Linked DNA regions of Canis lupus familiaris. The protein of the gene in region 3 interacts with the protein of the main gene of each other region in a biochemical or structural test. Links are inferred from orthologs where the notes say so. Each region holds a gene or a part of one and is shown on either strand. Other genes may lie near its edges.

Region 1 (3,381 bases), on a different chromosome or scaffold from region 3:
GCGCACCCTGATCATCCCCTCCTTTAGAAGCTTCCCCTGCCAGCAAGACCCCTCCTCCATTTCAGCTCCAGAGCACTAAGACTTCAGCTTCGTTATCACATGAAAGAAGCCACCCCAGCTGCAGCAGCCAAGGAGCCCTACTTTCACTCCAAGAGGCATTTGATATCTGATCTTCTATGTTCATTTACTCTTCTGGCTGTCTTCCCTGGAACCAGCTCTCCTTCCATATTCAAAAGCTAGTTTGAAAAATCTTTTGGGTTGGCTTGGGGCAGGTTCTGTAGCACCCACAGCATTAGAGTCCTTGCTGATATGTTCACACTTCCTCATGGGCAAGAAAAAGCTATTCTTCCCTCACTTCTCCCTCTTGTCTCAGTTGCTCTCAGTTGCTGTAGAAGCCAAACCCACAAGGAAGTGGTGGCACGAGTGAGACCCTTAAGACCCTAGAAACACAAGGTCAAGGCCTGCAGGGACATGAAAAGTCTTTCTAGCAAATGTGCTCCCTCCCCCTGACCTTCCCAGCTTGGGGCTCCCTTTAGAGACACACACAGGAAAGTGCTACATTTATTGTTTTCTTTTTTTAATGAAACTAAATCACTGCTTACAAAAACCTGCAAGAGCCCTCACGCCCATCCCCTTCACACTTCCCTTGGCTTAGCCTCTCCCCATCTCCCAGGAACTGAAGCAACTCAATGAACACCATGAGGGGAGAGGCCCTGGGCTCCAACCAGAGCCTTCACAGGGTGACAGTTCTACCTCCCGTGATCCTTCCTGTCAGGCTGGAGGTGGCATGGATGAGGGTGGTCCCCGCCGCCATGGCTCTCAGGTCACCACCCAGACCAGAGTGAAATGATGTGAATGCCCCGCCCCAGAGACCCCCCCTCCCCCAATAGTCTCTCCCCTTCCTCCCCGCTCCCCCCACCCTAATTCTACCCCTCTACTGAGATGAGGCCCAGCTCCCAGATCCGCAGGGCCAGGGTCTACAGGCTGTAGAACTTGAGGCTCCTGTCCATGCCCGTTGAAGCGATGAACTTGGCGTGGTGCCCAAAGGCCACCCCTGTGGTCAGGCCACTATGCTCTGAGGAGAGAGACAAGAGGCAGTGGTGAGGCTTCCCCGGGTCAGTGCTCAGTGTTTCCTAGTCACCCCGATACCCCCGAGGGCAGGGTGCTAGTCTGGCCTACACACCACCTGTGCCCTGGGCCTTACTCAGTTCCCGGCACACAGTAGGCACTCGAGTTCTTGTTGTGGGCTGAGTGAACAGAGGAATGTCAGCGCCCCTCACCTGAGCTTTGCCCCTCATCTGAGCTTTTGGGGCTGCTGCAATTCTGCTCAGTTCAAGTGCTACTAGAACCCACTGGGAGCTGGCAGAGAGAGCGACAGACCAAGCAGACATAGTCTCATTCTTCCACTTCTCACCTTATTTTTAAAAACTTAGCTGAGTTTTCTGTTCAATCTAAAACCTCAATGCTATTATATGTATTTATTTCTACCTCCTTTCTTATAAGTGAGACAGTCTGTCAATAAGTTCTAGCTCACGGGTTCCGACCTAGGGCACAGGGTAGGGCAGGGGTGGGCTGAGGGCACAAGAGGCTGGGTGACACACCTTCCTGGATTCCGGTAGTCACAAGCAGCAAAGCAAATTCCTTCTAGGTTTAGGATAACACCTGGGGCCCCGACTACAGAACCCAGGCTGTGCTTCCAGCCCACTACCCCGCCTCGCTCAACTCCAAAACACCGGAGCCCAGTGAAGGTCACGGTTAGGCCTGGACACCCCTGCAGCATACAAACTGAGCAGGGCTCAGCAGAATGTGGGGGCAGGAGAAGCATCCTGGGCCCCGCCCACAACCTGCTAATGAGGATGAGAATTTCATCAACAGAGACAGCCAACAGCTGCCGTCTGCTTAGCTCTCCAGCGTGCAACAGGCACACTGTCCCTGTGCGTGCCACGTCTATGTCACCAACTGGCACAATCTGCAAAGCAGTATCAATGTGACCGTTAAAAAAAAAGGAAGAAGCTACAGCTCTCAGAGGGAAACTGAGGTACCCAGGACCACACAGCTATTAGGTTAGCAGTCCTATCACCCACTGTGCCACCCCTTCTACTTTTCTTCTCCAGCATTCACAACAATTAAATGATTATTTGTAAACCTGTCTCACATCTGCTCCTCTAGGCTGATTGGAAATTCCATTAGTGCAAGGCCTAGATCTCAGTCATGGCTCCAATCCCACAGGAATGATGCAATGCTGAATAAGGGCAAATCCCTAATATGTGCCAGGCGCTGTCCTATTTACGTATGTGTTTGTACACACGCATATACACAGCTACTTCCTCAGGTTACATGTATACACACTAAACAGAGGACTTTGTGTATACATAAACTCATCTAAACCTCCTTGGCACCGCATGGAATATGCACTATTAGCATTCCCCAGAGAGACTAGGTAACCTGTCCAATGTCACACAACCTGAAGAGGACCTGAAGTGGTAGAGCTAGGATTTAATGCTCAGCAGTATGATTTTTGAGTTCATTTTCTTAGTCACTCAACTCAGTTGCCTCAGGTAGTGATGAAAAGCTGCCCAAGCAAACTCACGCCTGCCCCTAGAAATTCCCAGCCCAGTGGTATTTGCCCTCTTTGCTCTGCACCAGGGCATCCAGGACCTGGGGATCCCGGAGTCCAGACCCTACCTGTGAAATGAAGAATCTCTGTCCACTGCTTGCAGATGTAGATCTGGACATCCGTGCCCCCAAGGGCCAGGTAGGTGCCGCTCTGGTCAAAGATCAGTGACTTCACCTGTTGGAACCAGGAGAGAGGTCACATGAGAACAGAAACTACGAGGCAGTCAGAGATCAACAGAGGCAGCTCAGATGATTCGATGAGTACAAATGAAGAGCAGCAGGGGAGGGAGGGGCATACCTCAAAGTTGTTATCCAGCTGCAGCGTCTTGAAGTTTTTAAGCTTGCGCAGATCCCAGAGCTTGACAGAGGAGTCATCAGCCGCTGTAGCCAAGTAGTAGCCATTCTCTGAGAAGGCAATGCTGGTGATGGGGCCCGAGTGGCCGGGGAAGTTGGCCACATTGGTGCGCTCCTGCAGTTTGAGGATGGATAGCACAACGTCATCCACTGGTCATGAGGGGGAGAAGATGGCGTTCACCAAAAACCTACCTCTGAGCCATCCTCCTCCAGCCTTTATGAAAGGTCAACTAGCAGGAACAGCGGAAGCAGATGGCCCAGCCCAAGAACCCCGGACCACACCTATCACGTCACACACACACAGCGCCACGGTCTCTCTACCCTTGTGACAGCCCCAGGGCCAGGTGCCGTCAGCACATAATCACACTGCATAGTCAAGAACTCAGAGCCTGGGCCTTAGGTGGAGGCTCC
Region 2 (3,566 bases), on a different chromosome or scaffold from region 3:
GACGAATACTAGGTGATTTTACTGGTATGTGAACTCTATAAACAAAAATAAAAACCAGGCTCACAGATACAGAGAACAGATCAGTGGTTACCAGAGGTGGGGGGTGGGAGTGGGGGAAATGAGTTAAGAGAGTCAAAAGTGCAAAGTTCCAGTTATGAAACAGGTAAGTCACGGAGATATAATGTTCAGCCTGGCAACTACAGTTAATACTACTGTACTCAACATCTAAAAATTCTCACTATAAGGAAAAAATTCTGCAACTATGTATGGTCATAGATGTTAACTAGATTTATTGTGATTTCACAATATACCAATATATTGTATCATTACATTGTATATTAAAACTAATAATATTGTATATCAATTATACCTCAATAAAAAATATATACATGTTGAAAAAACTTAACAGCTTTACTAGGAATCCCACTATAAATTTTTTTTGTGCGGTTTTTACAAGATTAGGTAACCATTTCTGCTTAACGTTAGTAGATAGATATTTTATTTATTTATTTATTCATTCATTCATTTATTTATTTTATTTATTCTTGAGAGACAGAGAGAGGCAGAGACACAGGCAGAGGGAGAAGCAGGCTCCCCATGCAGGGAGCCTGATGTGGGACTCGATCCCGGATCTCTAGGATTACACCCCAGCCTGAAGACAGCGCTAAATGCTGAGCCACCCAGGGATCCCCACAGATATTTTTAAAGATACACAATCAGTGTGTTAAAAAAGGATCCTGTAATACACTGCAAATATCAAGTCACCCATTTTGGAAAATATTTGTACTTTGGGTGTCAATTACAAAAATCTTGGACCCATTAATTCCATTACTGGGGATCTGTCCAACAAAATCATTTAAAATATGGCAAAAAGCTTTAGGCACAAAAATTATATAGCATTACTTGTGATAGTGAACACCAAGAAACTAAAAACTCTGATGTCTACCAATAGGAAAATAGATTATAGAATATCTGATAGATTGTGAAACCATTTAAAAAGATGTCCATTTCTTCACAAAAATATGCCTCTTATATGTTAAGTGGAAAAAAAGCAGAGTACAAAACTATGTAACACTCAAGAATTTTTATTTATGTATTTTTTTTTTAAGATTTGAGAGAGTGCACATGTGCATGGGGATGAGGGGTGGTGGGGAGGACAGCAAAAGGAGGAGGAGGGAGCCTTAAGCAGGTACGGCGCTGAGTGCAGAGCCCGATGCAGGGCCTGATCTCATAACCCTGAGATCACAACCTGAGCTGAAGCCAAGAATCAGTTGCTTAACTGACTGTACCATCCAGACACCCCCATCATGATTTTTTAAAGATACACATTTATACACACAGGAAGAAAGCTCAGAAGGAAATGTAGTGACACATATGCATGGAAGTAAGTACTAAAAAGAAATTCGTTCAAATTATCTGACAGTGTTCAATTACATATGGGTCTGTATTCTTTTGTACTTCTCTATATTTTCCTCATTTTTTATATATGAGTAAGCTTTAAGTTTGTAACCAGAGGAGAAAAAAATATCAAGAAATTAGTGGTAGTCGGTATGTTTGGTTTGGAAAAGCCTGTTATTTAAATACCACTTTCCAAACATATTTAATTGGAACACTGAATTGATAAAGATAATAAATTTTACTCCATACTCAGGTCTCAGAAATCAGAGAAACTACAACAGCAATTCCCACCTCAGAAATAAAAGATTAAAATCACGTAGTAAATACAAAGTCGTATTTTTTCTTCCTCCTTCCTATTACCTTTATAGTTCTGTCAGCAGATCCAGTTACAAACCACTGATTTCCAGGTTCCACAGCAATACAGCGAACCCAGCCAAGATGTCCACTGATCACCTGTATAAAACAAAACATAGAATGGGTGGACTCATTACACTAGTTTGTTCAACTTCAACTCATTACATATAAGTCAAGTTTGAAGAGCCCCTCCTCATATCTTCAAATACATTTATAAAATTATTTGACACTTAGATTTTAAAATTATAAATTACCTTCAATCACAGTAAATACATATACAAGCTATGATATACCTATACAATGGAATATTTACTCAGCAAATAAGAGGAATATATTAATACAACTTGGAGGGCCCTCAAAGGCATTAAGCTGAGGAAGGAAGTCAGTATTAAAATGTATATACTGTATAATTCCATTACATAACAAAATTGAAAAAAACCCCACAAAAATAGTATGAAAAACAAACGAACAGCTGCCAGGGGTAGGGAAAGTTAGAAGTATAAAATAATAGCACAGGAGTGTTTTTTGAGCTGACGGAACTTCTTTATACTGAGTGTATAAAGAAGTAATTACCCAAATTTATACATCTATTAAAATTTATTAGGTCGGTATACCAAAAGAAAGTCTACTTTAGTGTATAATTAGAAAACTAAAATTTAATACATATATTTAATTATGTGTAGCTATAGTTTTCCTACTACATACATTTCATTTTAGATCTGGTATGTTTTGAATCACTTTAATTTACTATAATTAAAAAGATAATCAGTAGGGCTAAAGAAATAGCATTATATGTTATTTTTCCTCCTGGGATTCGTATTAAACACTTCAAACACGTAGAAAAATTATTTTATCTGTTCTCCATGTTTAATAGCTTTCTGTAAATATTTTATATAGGAAACACACACATAGCTTTTACTTAAAGAAGTCTTCACGTCTTTTAAGACTGCCTGATACCTTCCCCCCAACCCATCTCAGATCACTTTATCAGTTCTCATATTCAATCCTTTTCCTCCTGATTCTATTCCTTGGCTCTTAGTAACTGGAAAGCAATCATCATTCCTGTAGTGGAATAATATACAGATTCACTCACCCTGTAGAGTTTCCATGGTGGGTGCCACTGGGGTTTGGGCATGGTAGGGGCTTTTTTAGCCATCAGTGCAGAGTTCTTAGCGTTGCCAGCCTCCATAACTGCCTACAAATAGAACAGATTATGTTACTGTTAAAGGCATCATACCTAACTCTGTGTGTTAATTCTAAAAAGAAAAACTCAAAAAAGGGGATTTATGAGGGTTTTTTTTTTTCCTTAATTGAAGAGGAAAAGACAGTTAAAATGTTTGAATCACTAGAAAATGTTTGCATAACTAAGACTTCTAATCAGAACTGTTATTTTCTGTATGTTAACTTTAATTTTAGAAATAAAAAAAAATCTCAGAGGCTAAACAGTACATAACATAACATTATGCATGGGTTCAAAAGAGCACATAACATTGTGTATGGGTTCATAAACCCTGCTCTGCTAATTACTAGCTGACTGGTAAAAACTTACATAACCTCTGTGCTTGCTTTGTAAAATGGAAATAACACTGCCTACCTCAGACAATTACTGTAAAAATATTGTTACACTCTGTAAATGCTTTATGTAAGCTCCTATTATTATTTGAGTGATTTTAAGTGGATTGTCACTGCCTTTCATTGTTGTATTTTAACATTATCTCAACTTAATAGCAAAAAGAGAAACTAATTAGCTTCCAAAAAAATATTTAATACTTTCATTTATTATTAAAATTCAATTAATTAACATACGGTATATT
Region 3 (4,159 bases):
TCCCCAATTGGGGACAGGAAAGAGGAGATAGAAAAATGGCTTGTCTAAGATCACACAGGAAGCAAGTGACAGCTAAGGCTTAAATCTAAATTCCCATCTCCCACACCATACTTTCTGTTATATCACATTGCCTGCTTTCTTTGGCAAGGTTCAAAGAACTGACATTTTCCTCATCATAATTAAGGTCGCTTTCTGTTTTCCACTCATTAAGTGGTACATACCATCTGGCTTTGCACTGCTTTGCTGATTTTCTATGCAGCAATGAGGCAATCCTAGACCACTGGTTTTTTCCATATTTCATTACTGCTGCTTTCAGAATTTCATCCTAAAAAAATTGTCAAAGAAAAACAATATATTCAATCATAAAATTCCAAGTGAGAAAAGACAAAATTTAAATTAACTCTGACAGTATTGCTAGGGAGAAAGAGAAAGTCATAAACACACACACACACACACACCCCCTAGGTTTTGGGGGGAAAAGGTACAAAACTTCATTTATTATAATAATAAACAAGCTAGAATTGGCAAAATGCAAAAACTTCAGAAGAAATCCCTCAGAAGGACATCCTACCCCTCTTTATACACAACCCCATCCCCAACCCAATAAACTAGGAGTACAGCCCAATGTGAGAAACCCTACTTGGCAGTGATTAACAAAAAGTACACGCCTGTGTTTGGGTGTCATCATCCTCAAAAGGATACAGCTCAATCATTTATTCATTCATTCAAAAAACATTTATTGAACACCTACCTTGCACCAGGACTTGTATACTGAGGAAAAGAGAATGAAATAGACCTCATCCAGCCCTCAAGAAGCAAGTCAAGACTCCGGTGAATCCATTCTCCACTCCAATTTACAAAGGTCATTTTCTCTCCAGTCCCATAACCCCTGCTTCGACCCAAAAGTCCACATTTCAGGTCTAACCTAAGAATTAAGTATTTCTTCCCTGCTGCACCAGTCAGCTCTTCCTCCAGGCTCTAGTTCCTGTTTCATCAGGGCACCCATTCTGATATGGAATTCACCAATTCCAGGGGAGTCCAGAAAGGTAAGCCACAGACACCAAGAATAGTGTGCACTTGGGGCATTTAACTTGAGGCTTTTTTCCACACTGAACTTTAGATACATGCCTCATACAGGAGCCATTCCATTCCACCCCATTCCACACACACCCCACACTCCCCCCCACCCCCCATCATCAGAGATTTTTAAAGACTGCAGGGCTTTGGCCACTCTACAGGAATCCTGCTGTTATTTGATTTTGTACATCTGTCTCTCCCCCAGAAGTCATCTCTCTTCCAATTTAAACAGCCTGGTTCCCTCCGTGCAAGCTGTGAGACAAGGTTGTCACTATGTGTAACTTTGTTACAATACTGCTAGACTTAAACACATCTTCAACGGAGTGCATACAGCAGTTACCCACCCTACTAGATTCATCTCTTGCCAAACAATCTATTTCATGTTGGTTACTATCCTAGGTTCTAGGGGTCCTCTTGCAGCGCTGTTTCCTGGGGGAAAGCAGTATCAGCTAGCAGTTATCAACTAGCACCTAACTGAAAGACTACTGTGTGCCAGATTGCTCTATATGTTGACTCGTTTCATCTTCAAAATAATTCTTATTCCCATCAGAAAACTGAGGCTCTGAGAGCTTAAGAAATTTATCAGCATCACACAGAAGACTGTGATGCTTGCAAAAAGGCAAACCATTCTATACCAAGTGGATGAAGGAGGTGCCATGGGACGACGGGGGGTGTAACTCATTTTTACAGAGTGATTGGGCAAAAATTCCAATAGTTTCTGAACTGGCCCTGAAGGATAGTTAGAAACACGTCAAGCAGCAGGAGGACATTTCAAGAAGGCACGAGAAGTAAAAAGACACGATGCCTGAAAAGATACGATGTGCTCAGGAAACTGACAAATCCAGCGCACGCTGGACACAAACTGCACCGAAATCCTGTTCGTTATTTTACTCCTTCCCTACCGCCCTTCGGCTAGCCATCAGCATCATCCGCTGCAGTCCTGGAAGCAAATAACTACTGCGGGCAGTTTGTCCTCTCTGGCTTCTTATCCTAGCTGAGGCGGAGCGACAGGAAGGCACAGGCCTGGGGATCCGTCGTGAGGACGCACAAGTCATGCCTTAGGAACAGGTAACCAGAGAGCTGCGGGCGCAAACGGGCTCTGAACTTGGCACTCAGGCTGCCCCAAGCCCCTGCAAGGAAGTCCATGAAGTTGTGGCCACAGCACTTCCCTTTACGTGAGTTGTCAGAGCGGCACGGTGCCGGGGCCGTGCGGGAGGACGGAGGGACGGAGGACCAGCTCTCGCGGAGGTCCTACCCCGCCCCCTGCACGCGGCGAGCTCCTCCAGGGCTGGGGCGCGTCCTCAATTCGACAAAAACATTCACTAAGGGCCTAACAAGTGCCTCGCACGTCAAGTGGTTAAATCACAGTCCCCGTCCTCGGGGCGCTCAGGCGGCGCAGGGCCGGACAGCCGACGAGGACCCCGAGGGGCGGCCCCGCGGGCCCCGTCCCCACGCAGACCCCGCAGGGCATCCTCCTCGCCTCCTGGACCGCCGCGCGCCTGCGCACAAACTGCCGAAGGGGGCGGAGGGCAGCGGACGGCGGGAAAAGGGGACTTACCTCGGTATTCCTCCACACGCCCCCCTTGATCATAATTCGAGGCATCTTGGCTGCGGGGTGTCTCGGCAAGCGGCCGAGAGGAGCTTCACAGAAGTAGTAACGGCGCTGCGGCCACGGGACCTAAAGCCGCCACTTCCTCCAAGCGCGACCTTCTGGTTTGAAGAGATCTGCGCAGGCGCAAGGCGGGGTGGGGGGGGGGGGGGGGTGCGGATAGGGGGAGCGGTGTAGCAAGTCTCGCGAGAATGCGGTTACTGAAAGGAACGAGCGCCTCGCTAGAGCTCCAGCCTGGAAAGACCGACGGAACGCCGTCCAACCCCTCCACTAAAGCGCCCCCACGCCGCGCGCATGTCCAAAACAGGTTGGAGGAAAGCACGGCTCTCGCGAGATATCGCGGGCGGCTCTTCGCAGGGAAGGTGGCGGTGGGATTGATCGTGACGTCACCTAGTGGCGAAGAGAGGGAACATCACGGGTGCAGAAATAGCCCAGGTGTTCTAGGAAGAGCTTTGTTCGTTTATTGTTTGTTTTTTTTTTTTTTTTTTTCATTTATTAAGTTAGCGCTTTACTAGGCATTTAACGAATAGGACTTTATTCGCAGAATACTCGGGAAAAGGAACTAGCTTAAGCCTAAGCTTTTTAATCTGTAAAATAGAGATACTAGTATAGCAACCTCATAGGGCTGTCCTAAGGATTAAATGAGATCATAAACCTCGCCAGTCCAGTGTCTGAGACATTACTGCCCCCCAAAAGTGGCAGCTGTTGTTATAAGAAGGACGACCCCAGATGACCGGTGATTATCCCAGAAACCTGCAAAACTATCTTGTCAGTGTTTTTCGTACATCGCTATTCAGTCCATGTGGATTGATAATGAAGAGTTACCGTTGGCAGGCACTGGTATTCAGACAAACTCGGATCGGATTGAAATCTTGGCTCTCTCATCAGCTTGGGTAATAACCTTGCTGAATCTCAGTATCCTCATCTGAAAAGTTAGCCATTTTGGAGTTGGTTTTTTATTATTTTTTTCCTTTTTTTTTTTTTTTTTAATGATAGGCACAGAGAGAGAGAGAGAGAGAGGCAGAGACACAGGCAGAGGGAGAAGCAGGCTCCATGCAGGGAGCCCGACGTGGGATTCGATCCCGGGTCTCCAGGATCGCGCCCTGGGCCAAAGGCAGGCCCCAAACCGCTGCGCCACCCAGGGATCCCGGTTTTTTATTATTTGTAAGCAAGATTCCTAATAAATCAGAATTACACCGGTCCTCTCTCAAGAGCCATTTCTAGATCTAACATTACAAGGGTGCATGATGATGGCTTCTCCTTCCCTCTCAGGACCACCTTTTACCCTCTATGTAAACCTCTGTACCAACGGGAAAACGGTGCTTCTCCAAGGAGCTTTATTCCCACTTGCTGGGAAATTGTCACAAAATACTGATGTTTTGGAAACAAGAGATATACTACAAGAAAGTGAGATCCACCATGTCTAGGATGTAAATCGTGCCCCCTTGGAGCATGCATTGTGCGACCTGCCTC

The links. The genes of interacting proteins can lie anywhere in the genome.
Region 1: the proteins of CDC5L (region 3) and PRPF19 form a complex in vitro, tested with the Homo sapiens proteins (2 studies listed by BioGRID, with this or other methods). The link is inferred for Canis lupus familiaris from reciprocal best matches to the Homo sapiens genes CDC5L and PRPF19.
Region 2: the proteins of CDC5L (region 3) and PLRG1 form a complex in vitro, tested with the Homo sapiens proteins (3 studies listed by BioGRID, with this or other methods). The link is inferred for Canis lupus familiaris from reciprocal best matches to the Homo sapiens genes CDC5L and PLRG1.

Annotation. Positions count from the first base shown.
Region 1 is NC_049239.1:56,006,003-56,009,383, reverse strand, and holds the end of PRPF19 (pre-mRNA-processing factor 19), read right to left. Parts: intron 3,086-3,381; coding exon 2,915-3,085; intron 2,792-2,914; coding exon 2,686-2,791; intron 1,076-2,685; coding exon 978-1,075; 3' UTR 557-977; downstream 1-556. UniProt on the Homo sapiens protein: Ubiquitin-protein ligase which is a core component of several complexes mainly involved pre-mRNA splicing and DNA repair. Required for pre-mRNA splicing as component of the spliceosome.
Region 2 is NC_049236.1:52,564,197-52,567,762, forward strand, and holds part of PLRG1 (pleiotropic regulator 1), read right to left. Parts: intron 2,948-3,566; coding exon 2,846-2,947; intron 1,852-2,845; coding exon 1,759-1,851; intron 1-1,758. UniProt on the Homo sapiens protein: Involved in pre-mRNA splicing as component of the spliceosome. Component of the PRP19-CDC5L complex that forms an integral part of the spliceosome and is required for activating pre-mRNA splicing.
Region 3 is NC_049233.1:12,972,113-12,976,271, reverse strand, and holds the start of CDC5L (cell division cycle 5-like protein), read right to left. Parts: upstream 2,818-4,159; 5' UTR 2,681-2,817; coding exon 2,636-2,680; intron 326-2,635; coding exon 222-325; intron 1-221.